Saccharomyces cerevisiae S288C: one gene and its partners. Changing the gene in region 2 together with the main gene of any one other region gives a genetic interaction. Each region holds a gene or a part of one and is shown on either strand. Other genes may lie near its edges. The genes, in order: SEY1, YOP1, BBP1 and ICE2.

What was found.
Region 1: mutations in YOP1 (region 2) and SEY1 together harm fitness more than expected from each alone (negative genetic interaction), as found in Saccharomyces cerevisiae (6 studies listed by BioGRID, with this or other methods).
Region 3: of YOP1 (region 2) and BBP1, changing one suppresses a phenotype caused by changing the other (phenotypic suppression), as found in Saccharomyces cerevisiae (one study listed by BioGRID).
Region 4: mutations in YOP1 (region 2) and ICE2 together harm fitness less than expected from each alone (positive genetic interaction), as found in Saccharomyces cerevisiae (2 studies listed by BioGRID).

Annotation. Positions count from the first base shown.
Region 1 is NC_001147.6:642,305-648,093, reverse strand, and holds SEY1 (dynamin-like GTPase SEY1), read right to left. Parts: upstream 3,529-5,789; coding exon 1,198-3,528; downstream 1-1,197. Other genes in the region: SWT1 (mRNA-processing endoribonuclease), read left to right, coding at 1-968; protein GET4, read left to right, coding at 3,762-4,700; polyphosphatase DDP1, read right to left, coding at 4,787-5,353. UniProt on the Saccharomyces cerevisiae protein: Cooperates with the reticulon proteins RTN1 and RTN2 and the tubule-shaping DP1 family protein YOP1 to generate and maintain the structure of the tubular endoplasmic reticulum network. Has GTPase activity, which is required for its function in ER organization.
Region 2 is NC_001148.4:620,957-625,205, forward strand, and holds YOP1 (Yop1p), read left to right. Parts: upstream 1-2,570; coding exon 2,571-2,621; intron 2,622-2,754; coding exon 2,755-3,246; downstream 3,247-4,249. Other genes in the region: YPR027C (uncharacterized protein), read right to left, coding at 1-302; APL4 (AP-1 complex subunit gamma), read right to left, coding at 3,513-4,249. UniProt on the Saccharomyces cerevisiae protein: Required to generate and maintain the structure of the tubular endoplasmic reticulum network and the vacuole. Induces high curvature in membranes and causes membrane tubule formation. Involved in membrane/vesicle trafficking.
Region 3 is NC_001148.4:66,065-70,580, reverse strand, and holds BBP1 (Bbp1p), read right to left. Parts: upstream 2,857-4,516; coding exon 1,699-2,856; downstream 1-1,698. Other genes in the region: HFI1 (Hfi1p), read right to left, coding at 1-1,096; cyclin CLN2, read left to right, coding at 3,967-4,516. UniProt on the Saccharomyces cerevisiae protein: Component of the spindle pole body (SPB) required for insertion of the nascent SPB into the nuclear envelope and for the proper execution of spindle pole body (SPB) duplication. Connects the central plaque of the SPB with the half-bridge.
Region 4 is NC_001141.2:191,615-196,444, forward strand, and holds ICE2 (Ice2p), read left to right. Parts: upstream 1-1,980; coding exon 1,981-3,456; downstream 3,457-4,830. Other genes in the region: rRNA-binding ribosome biosynthesis protein UTP25, read right to left, coding at 1-1,581; YIL089W (uncharacterized protein), read left to right, coding at 3,985-4,602.

The DNA of each region.
Region 1 (5,789 bases), on a different chromosome or scaffold from region 2:
ACTTTATTATTTCGCATCTAAACACTTTAGAAAAATTGAGATCACTGTCCAGCACTTATCATCATTTGATTATTGTACCAACCACCGTAATCCAAGAACTGGACGGACTAAAAAAGAGCCCTGATATTGCTAGGGACAATGACGATACAACTAATCAGGAACATGATAGGACAATAGGCACATTGGCCAGATGGGGGAACGACTGGATTTATAAGAATCTAGCCAATTTAGATTCCGGTTTAATAGGTCAAAAATTGAAACAAAGCTTGAATCCAGGCAGTTTAAAGGATGACTCGATATTGGACTGTTGCTTGTACTTCAAAGAGATTTTAAATTGTTTTGTTATTTTGCTTTCGAATGATAAGAATCTTTGTACAAAGGCATTAACTGAAGATATATTAACTGTTTCATTTAGGAAGAACATGGATGCGAAAATAATTGCAATGAGAGCATATGAAGAAAACCAACTGAGATTTGCTAATCTGCGTGACTCTACAGTAAATAATTTCGATCAGAATGTCACATCATATGCTCATATTCCTGGAATAGAAACGCCCCCTTTGCAATTCGATAAAGTCTCACAAAATGTGTTTGAGCAAGTAAAAGAAACTATTTTCTTTGCTATTGACCACACTTTAAGAAAGGAATATGGTGAAGATATTGGATTCATAGATTACAACCCAGATAAATTAACTACCATAGAAAACGCTTCGAATTACATTTATTTGTTTTGGGTGTCTGTATTTTCGGAACTTTTCACTTGTTCAAAGATAAAGAAGAATGAGTGGAAGAGCTTACCAACAGTTTTGAAATCAAAACCGACAAATCTGAATGACTTAAGAACATTTGAACAATTTTGGGAGACTGTATTGCATTTTTTATTCAGCAAATTCACAAATGAGGAGAAACAATCTTTAGAGAAACAGATTCATGAATGGAAAACATCTATCAATGCTATATCAACCTGAAATGTTTTGCTTAGTGTAAATCTATCAGATTTATTGAAGCCACTCACACAACTCATAAGCTTGCGATATGCATTTGCATATATTTTTAATGTCATATAAATAGTTCCCTATAGTTATATACAAACACACAGACACGTTAGGAGAACAGTAATTATAATAATAACTATAATAACAAAAAAGTAAACACGGTAAATTGAAATAAATTATTCGATCAAAAAATATTTTCATATCATTTTTCTTTTTGCTCGTTTTTTGAGAAATCTTTCATTTCAAAAGATTCCTTCACTTCATGATCTTCAACGACAAATTGCCTTAGTTTATCCTTTATTGCAGTTCTTGTTTCACCAACTGCACTTTGAACAACATTAACAACAGGGCCCCAGAGGCCGAACTTATGAATAACAAAAAAGGTTGCACCTAAGATCAAGGTAAGGGTTACAAATAAGGGGTTTCTTATGACAGCCACGAATTCGTTCCACCCTAATACGGCTAGCAAAACGTAAATCCAAGGTGGAATATGCGTTCTAGTAGTGATGATAGACCTTTTCGAATCCAGAACAGTAATGTTAATCTGCCTGCGGAATTGATCTAAAACATTCTCCTTTTGCAATTCAGTCAAGATGTGTGCGAAACGACGGGAATGAAACACACCTTCGTTGTCCCGATATATTTCGTTGTCCTCGCCGCTTTCCTCTTCAGCCATTGGTACATCAGGAATAATTTCAACGTTATCTGAGGTTACAGCAAGTGAAAGAACCTCAAAAACTTCCAGGGCATGTTCTTTTGCAACACGGAATGCCCCATCAATCTCTTCTTCTGTTTTCCACAATCTTGGAGAACCTTCAGCATCATATCTGAATACATCTTCAAACCTGTCTCTCAATATACTAACAATCGTATCTATTTTCAGGTAGTCATGTACTGTGGTATCCAAGGTTCTCCACGCCAATATTCTAATATTTTTGTAAATCTTCGCGTTTTCGCTCTCTGAAAGTCCAATTTTAAAATCATATTTATCTTTTTCCACTTGATACGCAGATATATTGTCTTTGATAGTAGATTCAAAATCGTTCATTATATCATCCCAAACCTTTTTGGATGGATGTGATAGTAAATGAATCACATGATCCTTTAATTCGGGAACCAGATTTTTTTTAATACGACCGATTTTTGCTTTCAATTCAGCATCACGTAGTTGCTTGATTCTTTCTTCAATATCGTCGGAAAATTTGCAGGTAATCTCTTCGTTTGATATTAGTAGCCCTAACTTTTTGAAGGTCTCCATTGATTCGTTAAATTCTTTCTCAATCTTACTCTTACCTGCCGCCACACTTTCTACAAAAGAGGTAGTAGCTTTGTCTCTAGAAGACACCTCCAATTTTAAATCGTCCCATAACTTTTCCATTAATGATTCCAAGAACTCATTAATTGTACCTGAAATATGTGAATTCAGCTTTGTATTTAAAGCTTCTCGTTTCTCCATATAAACGTTTCTTGCATAGCGCGATGCTTGTTCATCATATTTTGTCAGACATTCTTCTTTTAGCTTCACTAGCTGAGATGTTAAAGATCCCAAGTTACCCTTTAAAGGAGCAATCGATTCATCATATTTTGAAATGAACTCTTCTAGAGCTTCATTAGATATTTCTTCAGTTTTAAATCTAGCAACCAGAATTTGCTGAGTTGGAAGATCTAAATCCTTGTTACGTTCAATTTGATCCCAACAATTTTCTGCGTACATAGTCCAACCATCTAATGGCAACCTATGGTGATATTGAGGTTTGAAATAATAGTTTTCCGTACCTTTCATCACAAACGAATCACCTAATTTCTTGACATCCTGGGTAAATTTGTCTTCTTGCAACAACTTATGAGCTAGCCCGACAAACTTTAAATCGAAATAATCATACAGGCTAGAACCCTCACAACCAGCAGGTTTACTTAACTCTGTCCATATTTTTTCCAATTCTCTCGTAACGGAATCACTCAAACTCGAGAGTGGAGTCACACCTACATGATCTCTAATTACAAAAAGTAACAGCACCTTGTGGTCATTATCATTCTTGCCAAATAGGGAAAGGTTGACCTCAAAAACTGTTTTTAATAAAGCCATATTATTACCTTGATATAGCCCAATTTGCTGCTCCCACATATTAACTATAAGAACTTCAGATACTGCAATGGCAAATAAAGCGGCTTTTCTCTCAAAATCTTGGTCTTCACCTCTTTCTGAACCATCGGAGCCCTCAACATCTAGCACAAAAATATCTGGACGATCATTATCGATTTCAATAGTTGTATTAACCTGTTTAGTGTGAGCCAACCAAATGCCTTTAGTAGTCTGCTGCCTTTTCACCTGAGCATCCATGGTATCAAAGTTGGTGTTAAACAAGACGTTAAGTAAAGTCGATTTACCACTCGATTGAGAACCGAAAACTGAGATGACATGGTAATCTAGACCAACATCACGATTTCCAATACATTGTTGAAAATATTGTAATGCACTTTGATGAAATTCCTTCTCTTCATCTATCAACTGAATAGCAGGTCTATCAGCCATGACTAAAGTATGTCAACCGTCGAGTGAGTTAGTAGCCCGTTTGTTGAAATAAGTCAATAATTATTTACCATCAAAATACACCTTTCAGTATTTTGTTCGTTTTGTCGCTCTTCGTTAAGGTAACAAACAATGGGAAAAAAAGTGAAAGGAAAGTCAAAAAAATGAAATAATAACATGTGCGGTAAAACAACCAAGTAAACATCATAAAGGGACATAAATAATAATAACAAGCTATGGTTCCTGCTGAATCTAATGCTGTACAAGCGAAACTCGCTAAAACCTTACAAAGATTCGAAAATAAGATCAAAGCTGGAGATTATTACGAAGCGCATCAAACGTTGAGAACTATTGCTAATAGATATGTTAGAAGTAAATCATACGAGCATGCCATAGAACTAATTAGTCAAGGGGCCCTTTCATTTTTAAAGGCGAAGCAGGGCGGTTCAGGCACGGATTTGATCTTCTATCTTTTAGAAGTTTATGATTTAGCGGAAGTTAAAGTTGATGACATCTCAGTTGCTAGATTGGTTAGATTAATAGCCGAATTGGATCCTAGCGAGCCCAATTTAAAGGACGTTATTACTGGTATGAACAATTGGTCTATCAAATTTAGTGAATACAAATTTGGAGATCCTTACTTGCACAACACCATTGGTAGCAAACTATTAGAGGGAGATTTCGTTTATGAAGCTGAGAGATATTTTATGTTAGGTACACATGATTCAATGATCAAATATGTCGATTTACTATGGGACTGGTTATGCCAAGTTGATGATATCGAAGATAGCACGGTGGCTGAGTTCTTCAGCAGATTGGTTTTCAACTATTTATTCATCTCTAACATATCATTTGCACATGAATCAAAAGACATTTTTTTGGAAAGATTTATTGAGAAATTTCACCCCAAGTACGAGAAAATTGATAAAAATGGTTATGAAATAGTTTTTTTTGAAGATTATTCCGACCTAAATTTTTTGCAATTGTTGCTAATTACCTGTCAGACTAAGGATAAGAGCTATTTCTTGAATTTAAAGAACCATTATTTAGATTTTTCTCAAGCTTACAAAAGTGAGTTAGAATTTTTGGGCCAGGAATATTTCAATATTGTTGCTCCTAAACAAACGAATTTCCTACAAGACATGATGTCGGGATTCCTGGGCGGATCGAAGTGAAAAGAGCATATTTGCGAAGGAATAGATAAATATGTTTGCGGTGGCTTGACGACCATGACGTATATACATATATATGTATGTGCTAGCTATTTGTCGTCTTTAATGATAGCAGACCTATTAAGGGCCTCCAACAATTCAGGCCTCTTGGCGTCTATCAAGTTTTGTTTAGCTTCTGTATAAGAGTATAGCTTTCTATGTCTTTTGTGACATTCCGGAAATTTATCAAGGAGATTTTCAATCTCTAATTCATAAAAATGAAATTCGGTTCTTGGCGGGTGCTTTGCTACTTCTGAATCTTTTCGAGAGTTCTCGAATTGCTTAATGTCTTTGTTCCAGTCCTTAGGGGGTCTCATGTCTTCAACTGTACCCAAATTGGCGACAATTTTACCTATGCAACCAGCTTCCTCCCAAGTTTCTCGTTGGGCAGTCGTCTCGTAATTAGGCTCGTCTTTCTCAACGCCACCTTTGGGGACAATCCATCTTTTCTTGTGTGCAGAAGAAGTAATCATGAGAACTTGCTTCTTGTCGGGTGTTAAACATATGCAGCCAGCAACTAATCTTGCACCTGTAACGGGTGAGTAAACCTGGTTTTCTCTTCCTTCACGTGCTGTCTCAGAACGTACTGGACCATGATTATCCGCGGTTTTGCCCATTTTGTGTTTCCCCACGCTCTTATACTCCTACGTACTCACTGTTCCTGACCTTTCAGGCGTTATTTCAGTGTGATTTCATGTCTTAAAGTTGAGGCTTCCCTTTACACTATTTACCTCCGCGAGACGTTTGAGAATTAAGCCGCACGTGCTCGCCGCAGATGTTCTTTCAACGACAAGAGAACACCATGCTCCTACTATTTACGCATTATTTACACAGTATACCTTTCTGATGATGAAGTTTGAAGGTTTAAATTCTGGGCAGTAGCTGTTTTTACGGTTGTCTCAATATTTCTCATTCTGCTTTATAATCACGGGAGTATGACAGCATTACCAATCTCTATCAAGATGAAGAAAGATGAGCATGATCGTTTTAAGCTCACATGGAAGCTGTAGTTATTACCAGTATATCCTCTTTATATATAGCGAATGTAGATTT
Region 2 (4,249 bases):
ATTAATGAAAACATTAAGATTACAACTCCTAGCCCACAGGATATCATATTGGCCGGATTTTCACCTACAGAAAAACATGATACCATAGTTTGAATTACTTGAAGTGTTAGTTTAGTGTCATCCAGTTTCTTTTCACTAACAGATTTTGTAGCGGCAGGTGCAGGTGCAGTAGAAGTTGATGTCACCGTTTCATATACAGTTTTGATGATTGTAACAGTATCTATCATGTCATCATCATGGAATGCAAAAAGAAGACCCAGGAGTGGGACGAACGAAGCAAGTATTCTGTAAATACCAACCATTTCTTTTTATCTGGCGCTTTATATGTTTATGAATAGTACGTTATGATGATTGTTTTTTTACAAATGTTTGTGAATTACACTAATGGTAATTCCCTCTTTAGTTAGAAGTAATGGAAAATTAGTACTTTCTAATTCTTGTGATCAACGCTTTTTCAACGTTGCCATCATCAACAGAATCTCGATCTGCTAGCCAACATCAAAAAGTTGTTTGCCGCACATCATGTAACCGAACTTTCAGTACCACAAAAACTAATATGCACGGCGCTTGAAAAGTGCTTTAATTTTGTAAACTATTTTGTTTTGTAAATTTCTAGGCAGTTGAGGCTACCGTCGTGACCACAGAAAGAAAACATCTTCAAAACACTTTAGTGACTGTCCATATAGCCGCCGAAGTTAGTCGCTGATATAATTTGAAACCTACATTATTATTTGTTCGTTTGGAAGACACGTTAGGTTTAGTATCAATAAACTTCCCATCCGAAACACTTATTCTACTAGTGTGTTTCATAATGCGTAAGCCAGCACGTATATATTCATCTCAATTTGTTACACACTTAACATACTATATAATTCCTGAGAAAATGCCCAGCTCATAAACATCGGTAGTCCAATTCAAGAACGGGGGAACTGAATTTGGGAGTAATCAAAAAAAAAAAAAGACGTTACTTCATCGTTTTTGTTGTCATTGTACACTTCTTTCATTTCTTTTCAGATTTAACTTCTCTGTCCGTAGTCGGCAAATAACGGTCCTTTAAATGCAAGGGATCATCAAGAGATTTTGAAAAACTGTGGAGCCAGATATTTATTTGTCAACTTTGGACATCTACCTTAGTCTGTCTGCTTCCCTCTTTTTGACCTCTTTTAGTAAACTCTGAGGTGGGATGACTGACTCTGACGGAGAAAGTATGTAGATATCTCAAGAAAGTATCAGTCCACGATATAGTAGGAAATATTATACAATACGTAATGGAAGCAAAGTGTGCTTCCATGAGTTTTAGACAAATTTATGTCCCTAAAACTTCGAACTTTTAACGGGAACAATTTTGGCCGTGATAAATTCTTTTCCAACGCTTATATTGATTATCCGTTATTGGTTTTTTGTTGGAGACATTAAAAGATGGCCAATGGCGTAAGAAAATTTTGAAAAAAAGTCAGACATTCAAGTTGAAAAACTCCTTCATCTTCCTACTTGAGTCTATATTTTCATTGATATTTCCATAAGAGAAGGAGCAGTCAAGTTCAAGAACCAACTTTCCGCAGTTGGCAGGTCGAAAAAATAAATGCGAATTCTGTGGATCGAACACAGGACCTCCAGATAACTTGACCGAAGTTTTTTCTTCAGTCTGGCGCTCTCCCAACTGAGCTAAATCCGCATATCAGAATGAAATAAACAAGCATTCTTGTGCTTTATAAATGGTCCAAGCGTCTAACTTTTAAAGAGTACATTCTAAAAGTAAGAGACGAAGACAACATTATAATAATTTTCTCAAGACATATATGTTTCACCGGCACGTTTTGTTTTGTCCCCTTTTATTTTGAGCCTGAATACTATGCTTTATAAAACTTTAATGCGCTCAACAAGTGCACCTTCCAACGGAAAAAAAGAAATTCAACAGGGAGCGATGCCATCATCACATGCACGTTTTCAAGTATTTATAAGACTTGCTACTTGCTCGTCCATTCATGACTTTAATGAGGTTCTAATTTATTGGTGCAACTCTTCAAACTAGCTGCCCAATCAGTGCTGGAATGAGTGCCAAGACAAGCGACAAACCCTGTCAATCTCCTGAAAAACAAAAATTAAGTGCTTGAGAAGACCTTCAGAAGAGTTGCATAGATAGGATGGGTGAGCGCAATTACTAGTTACGCAGTAAGTAGGTTATATGGCTGCTGGAGGGGCAGTACTGATTTAATCACAATCCGGATTAAACTTCCTCCTGAAAAAAAAAAAACTACATCAAGTCAAAAGATTTTCATTCACTCTTTGGAAGGCTGTGTGGCATTCTAACCTTTATTTTTTTATCACCATTCTCGAATTTTCGTGGTTCGCTTTCTTAGCGCCGTTATTCTCTCTTCTTGTCCACGTCAAAGGGAGTATGCGTAACCCCTTTCAAGGTTGAACGAAAAAAAAAAAAATATGTCCTTCAAAATTTTTTTTGATTTAAAACTAAAAAACATTCCCTTGAAGCTTGTTATTCCGAAAGAAAGAATCTAAAATTGCAATTGGTAGTGAAAACAAATAAACAAAGACATAACCGCACTCCAATCATGTCCGAATATGCATCTAGTATTCACTCTCAAATGAAACAATTCGATACCGTATGTAAGATGGTTTTATTGGTTCCATCGTCATCATGGTTCAAACAGCCAAATGACCCGACACACGTAACCGAAGCAGTTATACTAACAAGAAAGCTAATTTTCACCCTCCTTGCTACATTTTTTTCTACAGAAGTACTCTGGTAATAGAATTTTACAGCAATTAGAAAATAAAACTAATTTGCCTAAATCTTATTTAGTTGCTGGTTTAGGTTTCGCTTATCTCCTTTTGATTTTTATTAACGTCGGAGGTGTAGGTGAAATTCTTTCCAATTTTGCTGGGTTTGTGTTGCCAGCATATTTATCGTTGGTTGCTTTGAAGACACCAACGTCCACCGATGACACACAACTCTTGACCTACTGGATTGTCTTTTCATTTTTGAGTGTCATTGAATTCTGGTCCAAGGCAATTCTATATTTGATTCCATTCTACTGGTTTTTGAAAACCGTTTTCTTAATCTACATTGCCTTGCCTCAAACTGGTGGCGCTAGAATGATCTATCAAAAGATCGTAGCCCCATTGACCGACAGATATATCCTAAGAGATGTTAGCAAGACAGAAAAGGATGAAATTAGAGCTTCCGTCAATGAGGCTTCTAAGGCTACAGGTGCTTCTGTTCATTAAGAGGCAACTCACCTATATCCTCAAATCAAACTCTCGTTTTTGTTCTCTTTGTTATCTATTCTATTGAGAGCATATAAGTACATATGTTATTAGTTGTTATATATCGCTACTTAACATATAAAATATTTTGGAGTCGTTTATGGTGTCCCAGAAGATAGCATTTCTATTCATCGTGTTGTGTCGTGACGTGTCTCTTGATATGCGCGACAGACCATCCAACGCAAGGTCATTAATCATGTTATGTTCTGTAATTTTAAAGGCATTTTTTATAGAGTTTCATCGAATTTGTGATCGAACTGTTCATTGGTGATAGATGAAGAGCCATTTAAATGAAAATCCAACTTAACTCTTAACTTCAGTTTCCCAGATCCAGAAATTTTCAATGACTGCTTGCAAATTTGGCTGGCGTTTATTGTGGAAGATGGATATAACTGGCCTAGTGTTAGCTTTTGAGCTTTAGGAACGGCACAGAAAGTTTTTAAGTCAGATATTAAAGACTTTGCCTGAAAATATAAATCCAAATGTGCTAATCCAGAGTTTGCAGAGAGCAAGGAAGCATATACATTCAGTGAGGAACTGTCATATATCTTGTTGGCATCCAATGGTAAGGTGACACCTGAGTTTGCCTCCACTGCCGACGAATGATTGATTGATTCTTCCTTGTTCGCATTTTTGGGCACCTGAGCAATGTCATTCTTCTCTCCAAAAATCTCTTCTAATATGTCAATTGGTTTCACATTGTCACCAGTAGAAGCCTTGCTTTCAGCCTTGCTATCCTCACCCAATAAATCTGACAGCAGATCAACTGGTTCGTTGGAGATAAGGTTTTTCGATAGAGCTTTTCCATTATCCTGTTCCTCGGTAATTTTTTCAAATTTAGGCATTGTTTCTAAAATGATCTTCTTCACAGAAATTGACTGATTGAAAAATATCTCGTATTGATTGCTTTTCATTTGCAGTGATAAATCAGTGGAATCCGTGTAGCTCAATATCAGTTGTCTTA
Region 3 (4,516 bases), 560 kb from region 2:
CTTCATCGGCACATTCATCCTCATTTTTATCATCATCTAACTGCTTAATTTTGGCATCGCGTTTATCAGCAGCCATTTCTGATACGGATTTATAAAGCCCACTCTCATTCAAATCATAATAATCTGAATATTTCTTCCTTCTATAACGAACTGTATCAATAGTAAACTCTATTATATTTTTTAGATATTGATCTAGGGCCAATGATATAAGCTCTACGCAACGTGCGTCCACTGTGCCGACTAACCCATGTTCTCTTGCTATACCAACCATTCTTAAGTAAAACGAATCCGTGTCTGGTAAAGAATGGCTTTCGCTCGCTAAAGGAACGTTGAATCCATTCATTATATCTTGTGACCATTCCAGCGGCGTTTTTAAATTATTGCTCTTGACACGCTTCAAACTTTCTGGATTGGTTACAATGGGAATTTTGGGTATATTATTTAATCTGGCTTGAAATACAGAGCAAAAAATGAAGCCTCTTTTGCCGGCCTCTTTCGTGATCATTTTAAGTCTATTTCGATCATTTAGAGGTAACGACATGACAATTTTTTTATAGACTTCAATTTGAGAGTTATGCTTATTGATTCTTTTTAGTTTATTGTTTGGATTGTTGCTTCCATTGCCAAATCCCCAAGAACTCTCATTACCGTTTCTCCCAAGAGGGTTTTCACGTAATGAATTAGCAAAAATCCCTAATAAAAGTTGGTTATGAAGTCGTACTAAACTATGGTGATGATTTGTATTTGATTTTTCTAAGCTTGCAGCGCTTGGTGAAAATACCAGCTCTAATTCATTAGAAAGTTCCTTTCTGGATAACTTCCCTAAAATGAAAAGACTGATGATCTGAGCATATTTCGTCCAGCTTTCTTTTCCCAATAGTGAGGTTAATTCTTCGATCATGGCACCCAAATCAATTCTCTGATTTGGTCCCTGAGGCTCCGCAGTTTCATTGTTACCATTGTTAGGCTCGGTATGATTACTGACGGCAGGACTACCAATTAGGCCCGGCTTCATATATGCATTCGTGGAAGCTGGCGAAGCAGCTGGATAAGTTGGCTGCAGAGGTTTAGGTGCTGGCGATTGTATAGCTGACATGATAGAAGAAATCAAAACTACTGGGCTTGTTTTCCCTATATTTTTATTGAATTTTTATTACCACTTATAGCTCAAAATTTATACTGTGGGAAAAATCACGTGCGAGAAAGTAAGCCCTATCCAATGATGATAACGAACAGACGAATGAAAAGAGCAACGATACTTTGTTAATCTGTTGTAAGTTCGATGTTCAAGGCACAAGTAGACAGAGACAATTTCGCGTTGCACCTACTTCTATCCTGAATTTTATCTTTTTTATTTTAACAAATTTATGTCACATCGTAACTTCAAGTTTCACTTTTTTTGTTCAAAATCGCAACCTGATAATGAAGAAAAAATGGGCGGGAATTACAGCTCGTGTTGAGTGATGATAATAAGAACGTATCTTTTTTTATTCCGTTATCTATATAATGTACATACCTAAGTAGTTAACACATTATCATTGCTATCATGACGTATTTTTAATGTTACAGTGGGAGAAACGTGTCAGCTTTTCTGCTTCAGCGTTCTATGAATCCGTCTATATTTTTTAAGTAATCAGTGTCCCATGAATGCGAATTAGAGTCGTAACTGTTATTTCCATTGTGGAATGGAGTCCTGTCCTATTGTCCTGTTGAAAAAATATTCGAACCAGCAGAAGTATCTTTTCTCTCGTTATTACGAAGGCTAAGCTGTAATAATAAATCATGTATTTCGGATTCATAATTGTCCCGCTGCATGTCCTTTTCTATTTGCAAATTGGTATATTTCAGCTCTAAATCGGATAGTCTTTGCTTCAATGTTTGTATTTCAAAGTTTTTCAAATCCTCCTCCTGATACAGCCGTTCCCTAGAAGTGGCCAGTTCAGCCTCATGACTGATCGTTTGATCAAGGACCTTTTTCAAACTCTTGTACTTCTGACCTAATGAATAATAATTTTCAAAGAGTGTCTTAGATTTCTTCAACTCGTTGACCAGTTCTGCTCTCATTTCCTCGTATGCTTGCTTATAAGTTTGCTCATTCCTGTGGAATTGCTCACGCTGCTCTCTAACATCCTCACACAAATCTTCCAGGTCTCTACTGTTCAAGTCCATTTGTGCAAAAAGATCAAAATATGCCTTTTTATACTCTCTATTCTTGTGGCAAGCATCTTCGTCCCGGACATAGTAATTGTCTATTTCATCACGTTTTGTTAAGGGAGATGGAAATTTGCCTGGTATATCTTTAACCGATAACTTATAGGGCGATCTTCTAACCTCATTAACTCCATCCTTGTTAAATAATTTCGAGAGCAAAGGGTCGTCTTCCTGAGGTGGTATAAAGGGTATCTGCGAATTGGAAAGCTCATTTATAGTTCTCCTTTTTGTGTGTAGTCTGTGACCAAATGTATCCGTAGGTTCGTTACGAAGTGGTTCTCTCGGTACTATCGGAGCAGGACTTCGTAAAGATCGTATTCTCTCTTTGCTGTGGTGGTCACCGTTAACAATTGAGTTAAAGCCGTTCTCGTTGTACTCTGGGAGTAACTCGTACTTCCTATGGAGCGTTGAATCCAGACCAGACCACGAATTTGACCTCGATAAGTTTGTACTCCTCCTGTTGGAGTCATTTCCAAACTTCATAGAAAAATTTGTGTCGTCTTGGGCATACCTAGATCGGTCTCTTCGTTCTTCCTGATCTTTATATTTCATTGAAGGTGATATGTCCGTACCAAACAGCGCATCCTTAGTCCATTTGAAAAGACCAAAAATGCCCCCTCCGCCCGTGTTGTCTTCCTGATTCATTGTTCAGTAGTCATTCGCCTCTATGCTCCTTCGAAGATTGACTTTTTTCGTTGTTTTGATTTCCTCGTCTTCAGTCTCTTTATGTTGTATTAGTTTTCAAAGTGTCAAGTTTTTCGTGATTTTCACCGAGCGACACAAAAACGGGTCGCGTCAGAAATAATTTTAAAAGAGCAGCGTAATATACCGCTACAGAAAAATTGGTTCAAGTATCCATTTTTAAGCATCTTTGCTTCTATTTACTCTTGAAAATATTCCTCCAGTATCGCCTGTGTTGGAGTGCGGTAACTTTTATTGTTTTCTCTACGAGTGAAAGGCATTTTTTGAAACCACTATTCGTTTCCTTCTGTAAGTTATCTCATCTTTTTCGTATCCTCCGCACTTTTACCCTGAAATGCGAACTAAAGCAACTATACATTGTTAATAATGATACTGAGGTTCAAAAGTGCCAAGTTATCAATTCATGCGCGCTTTACCCGGCTCCATCTTTCCGAAAACGGAAATCATCGCGAAATTTGTCTCAACGGAAGTACACGAAATTCGTCCCGCTGAACCTCAAAACTGCGTGTTCTAGTCACGAAACGCGCCAAAAACCGTTATGTTTCCGCATGCGGATACCTAGCGAAGAGCACATTTGGCGTAGCCTGTTAAGTATAACTGCTAAAAATTGAAATGAACACCAACTGAAACAACTGTTGGCCCTTTTTGAGGATCTAACCTGCGAAATGTTGATCTGACAGGCCTACTGAAAAACGGAAAGGAAAAAAGGCCTGCGCAAACGCAGAACGCAGATCCGCCTTCTATTTGCGTATCGCACGCAGCCTCTGGCTACTTGTTTAACTTACTATCTCTTTCATATATAAAAAAATAGCAATCGACTCTGGTAACTATTATGCTCCTCTTACTGGTTTTTTAGTGAATTGGCAATAGATAATATCAAGGACAACTTACTTTTATTTTAACATCTACTTTACTTCATCGTCAAATTTTCTTCTTATATACAGCATTGCTAGACTCTATAGCTGCCAATTCATTCGCTTACCACATCATAATTTGCATACAAAAGAAAATCTTTTCTTTTTTCCATTCATTCATTAAATTTAACGACAGACAATGGCTAGTGCTGAACCAAGACCCCGTATGGGACTCGTCATCAATGCTAAACCGGACTACTATCCGATTGAGCTATCTAATGCAGAATTACTTTCTCACTTCGAAATGCTGCAAGAATACCACCAAGAAATCTCCACCAATGTTATTGCTCAATCATGTAAGTTCAAACCTAATCCAAAACTAATAGACCAGCAGCCTGAAATGAACCCCGTGGAAACAAGGTCCAACATTATCACTTTTTTGTTCGAGCTGTCTGTGGTCACTCGAGTGACAAATGGTATTTTTTTTCATTCAGTTAGATTATATGACCGCTATTGTTCCAAGAGAATCGTGTTACGGGACCAAGCCAAATTGGTTGTCGCTACTTGTCTCTGGTTGGCTGCTAAAACTTGGGGCGGTTGTAATCACATCATCAATAATGTAGTCATCCCTACTGGCGGAAGATTTTATGGTCCCAACCCAAGGGCACGTATACCTCGACTCTCTGAACTAGTTCATTACTGTGGTGATGGTCAGGTCTTTGATGAATCAATGTTTTTACAAATGGAAA
Region 4 (4,830 bases), on a different chromosome or scaffold from region 2:
GGAGTTTTCTGATCCTATTACCTTGTGATTCTTCCATCTTCCTGCCATGTTACGGCATCTACCATTGATTAATGAATTAGCCGCTGGCGAGATGTATTTTGTGAATACCATTGTCTGTCTGAAGAGCTTAGCTTGTTCATTAATGTACCACATCCGAATTCTGCTAAAGTCAGCTTCATGTTGTTGATCCGGGATTTTGTTAAGATGGTCAAAGATGGTGAAAATATGAGATATGTTCTGGTATTCTATTGAATGTAATTGATCAATCACCATCAACTCTATTGAGGACAAAAAATCGTCCTGCCTCTTTTTTTTATCTGTATTTTCTAAGATCATTTGAATACCCAATGGCGAACATACAATAATGTCAGACTGGTAAAAATTGCTATAAAGTTTTATAGCCTTTCTTGTGAATTTGAGACCGACAACAAAAAAATCGTTGGTGTTCCCCCTAAATATGTGTTGGAAAGATTTTGGTTTGGACTTTGGAGGTAAGGAGTCGTCACGGAATTGGTCGTAGAACTTTCCCTTCTTGTCAACCTGATCTATACCAGATTTTGAAATTATCTTATCTACAACGCGGTACGCCACCTCTCTAGTAGGGACTACAATTAACACTTTTGGTCTTGTAAAACCTTGATCTAGGTGTTCAGTGTCTGGGTTATCCTGTAATCTTTGATTATTTTTCAAGATTCTATCTCTTGTCTTGTAGATGTGATTCAAAACATGCAAAGCATATAAATCTCTGTACTCGTCTTCGTCCTTTTCGTAGGAGTCATACTCGTATAATATGTCTTTATACTGAAACATGGGGTCTACTAATTTTTTTTGCAAAGCAGTCAATGGATCAGTTTTTTTATCCAATAGTCCATTTTGCACTTTTAGCCTTTGTTTCAAAAAGTATGAATATATAGATGATGACCTGTACGGACTTTCCACCAATGCTTCCTCACCAATTACTACCGGTTTAGCATATATATATGATTCACTGTCACTTAGTGAGCCCTTTACGGATTTGTATTTTACACTTTTGGTCTTGAAAGCATTCGACAACTTATCAACGAATTTCTCCGGAACTTGGTTGAAATGAGACTCGAAAGGATCTTGCTCATCTTCACTGTCTATATCTTTTTCGTCTCCACTGCTGTCATCGTCGTTATCATCCTCGTGATTACCCAAAAGGCCATTCTCTATCTCCAATTGATCATCCACTGGTCCATGTTCTGTATTTTCGTGCTCATCCTCCCCAACTTCGGCAGGAGCTTTGTTACTCTCGTCAGCCTCTCGCCTTCTTCTTTTTGGCTCTGGATGTTCAGATTTGAGAATCGTCAATAAAGCGTCATAAACTTTTTCCTTTTTACCCTCTTCATCCTCAATATCGAAATCATCGCCACTGTCGACATCGGACACTTCATCCTCATCGGATCTATGGTCAATATCTTCTGCTACGTCCTCTAATGTTTCTGTGCTTCCGCCTTCAGTTCTGGCAGAAGATCTTTTAATCTTCCTCAGTTCTTGTCTTCCTCTTTTCCGATAGCCACGGAAATTATCATTCTTTTCCCTCACAGAACTGTCACTCATTACAATTTGGTCACTTCGCAATTATACCACCGTCTCACTGAACCAATGCAGTTTATTCCCTGTATTATATTATTGCAAAATATGCGATGAGCTAAATTATAGTAGTATTGCGAAGGAAAAATTTTTCAGATCATGGTACACGAGGAATCGCATCAGCTTGAAGCGAAGCAAGGGACTGGAGCGGTTACTGGTTTCGGAGAGATGATTGATGAGAAGATGAACATAGGTAAAGGATCGAGGTGTAGTGATACTGGAAGGGCTGTGCGTAAAGTGTTGGTGGATCTTATAGTATTCGTGAAGCTTCTTTTTCCGTTTTGCTCCCCTCAGCCCATCGCGTAATTGCTTAGATCTATTAGAGAGGTGCTGTTTGTGGCCGATCACGCTAAAGATTAGGCAACGATGACCAGTTTGTCCAAAAGCTTCATGCAGAGTGGACGAATCTGCGCAGCATGTTTCTATCTGTTATTCACACTACTTTCAATTCCAATCTCGTTTAAAGTTGGTGGTTTGGAATGCGGGCTTTCCTTCACGGTGACACTGTTCACTTTATATTTCATAACTACGACTCTTAACGTGTTGGCAAGACGACATGGAGGAAGACTATACATTTTTTTTACCAACTGTCTGTATTACTCACAACATTTTATCATTGCATCTTTGCTATACCTGTTTTTGTCTGGATTTTCTAATGATGAGTTGGGAAACGTTCTGAAAAATAAATATAATGAGTCGGAGTCGTTCCTGGAAGCTTTGAAAAATAGCTTGAATTCCAATCAAATTAACTACGTCTTATATTATTACTACTATCGATTTGTTGTACAACCGTGGCAATTCGTGCTTACCAAGTCCACACCTTTTTTTACTCTATCGGAAGGTTTTTTCACTATTTTAGCCATTCAGGCCGTCGGGGAAACTAATAGATGGTTATCAAATGACTTGAATTCAAACACGTGGATTATTTCCTCATTGTTAACCTCCGGAGGTGTGATTACCGCATCGCTGTACTATTTGTATCGGATTTATGTCACCCCCATATGGCCGTTATCCATCCAAACGGCGTCCTTATTAGGACTTGTTTTGTCTATGGTATGTGGACTGGGGTTGTATGGTATTGTGAGTCAAAAAGGATCCGTCATAGAGAGCTCTTTATTTTTTGCGTATATTGTTCGTTGTATTTATGAAATTTCCCCCAAATTAGCTACTACCGCGACTGATGAAATTTTAAATTTGTTCAAAGACGTCTGGCAGAAACATCAAAGAAATCTGCCCACAGCTGACAATCTTTTGTGCTACTTTCATAATGTCATATTGAAAAATGCAGAGGTGTTATGGGGGTCCTTTATTCCTAGAGGAAGAAAGAAAACCGGTGATTTTCATGATAAACTCATTAGCATTCTATCATTCGAAAAAGTATCCTTGATATCTAAACCATTTTGGAAATTTTTCAAGAATTTCACCTTTAGTGTTCCGCTATCCATTAATGAATTTTGTCAAGTTACAATTAAGATGGCAAGCGAATCAGTTTCCCCAGCTATAGTAATCAATTTATGCTTTAGAGTTCTGATGTTTTACTCGGCAACGAGGATTATTCCAGCATTACAAAGAAAAAATGACAAACAGTTGCGCAAGAGTCGCAGGATCATGAAGGGATTGTATTGGTACAGTCCTTGCATATTAATTGCTATGTATACTCACCTGATTTTACAATATTCAGGTGAGCTAAAGAAAGACCTGTGCATATGGGGTTGCAGTGAAAAGTGGTTTGGCGTAGATCAACCAGAAATTATAGTAGATTCATGGGGATTTTGGAACTGGTGCAACATTTTCTGTACTATTTTGGTATACGCTACAGAATTAATAGGTTCTGGTAGTTGAAGCTGATGCATTGTCAAAAGAGCCGCATTACCAGCTTTGCCAAATACGCGAAGACAAAAAGGAAGGTGAAATACCAACTGACTTATAACTAAGTGATAGATGATATCTGTTTTAAGTGCCATTCCTGAACCATTTTTACATTTGGTTAGTTTCTTTTTTTGTTATTATTTGCATTAGTCCCTTGCACGTTCATAGTGAAAATCCCTTACGCTCACCACTATTTTCTAATAAATACAATGAACATTTTAACTCATACTCTAATATGTAGACACATAAATATATAAATATATAACATTTCCCTGAAATACTACTTTTATTACGTGGTAGATTTTAACCTGAAGCCGATGCAGATTATTCTAGATAATTTTATTTCGGTTTTTTTTTTTCTGTTTTGCTAATTTCCAAGAACCCTTTTTCTTCTCTTATCACAACGATAAGAGGTACTTAAGATGATCTTCATCCTTGGATTATTATTCTTTCCCTCTTAGAAAAGTGAATAATGAGAAGAATCCATTCTTAAATTTGGGAATGCAACGTACGAGGGAATTGGAATCGAGTGTCGCAATAGACCAAACTGAAGTACCCCGATCTAGATTTTTTATAATGGTTAAAAAATTATCAAGAGTTGCCGATATCGTCTATATAGTTGACACATTTCTAATTCCGCCATTGCATCCTTTAAAGAAGCAGCATCCAAAAGTTGCAAAGTTTTTGAAGGTACAACTTGTCTTTGATTTGATATCACTGTTTATTTTTGCTACGCACCAACTCCTACTGCTAGAAGATGGTAACTTTGGGAAGCACTACTTCAAAAGGAAAACAAAACGGTGCTCGAAATTTTCGTGCTCTCGCTGTAATGCAAACGCTCACCACCCCAAGTGGTTCAAATTCAAACATTCACTCCTATGTCTAGGAACGTTCTGTTTTGGGGTTTATTCGTTGGTAAAGATTAATAAGTTCTTTAAAACTGATCAGACTGTTGATCTAAACAGACTCTTAGAGCTATTCTTTTGGCAACTTAATGCAATTCTTAATATGAAGTTATTCGCCTTTTACGGGGACCATTTAGAATCACATAGTGCGCCTCTTGATGTGTATGAGGATTCTTTTGCAAACAAATCATCGTCAGGCGGTGACGAGGTTTAACAACTGTAGTTTTTTCGATAGTATCTTGAATCTGGATAGCATTTAATTGCGATTGAAACAAAAATGGACTACTGCACACTGTCTAGCGTTCGATATTTTCGTGCCATTATCACATATGATCTTCGGAAAATGAAGCAGATTATAACATCGGCTGAATTGATTAAAAATGTTAATAGTCTCCGGAAGCTGATGCGTAAAGATTAACATTGTAGTGGGAGAGTGGGTGAC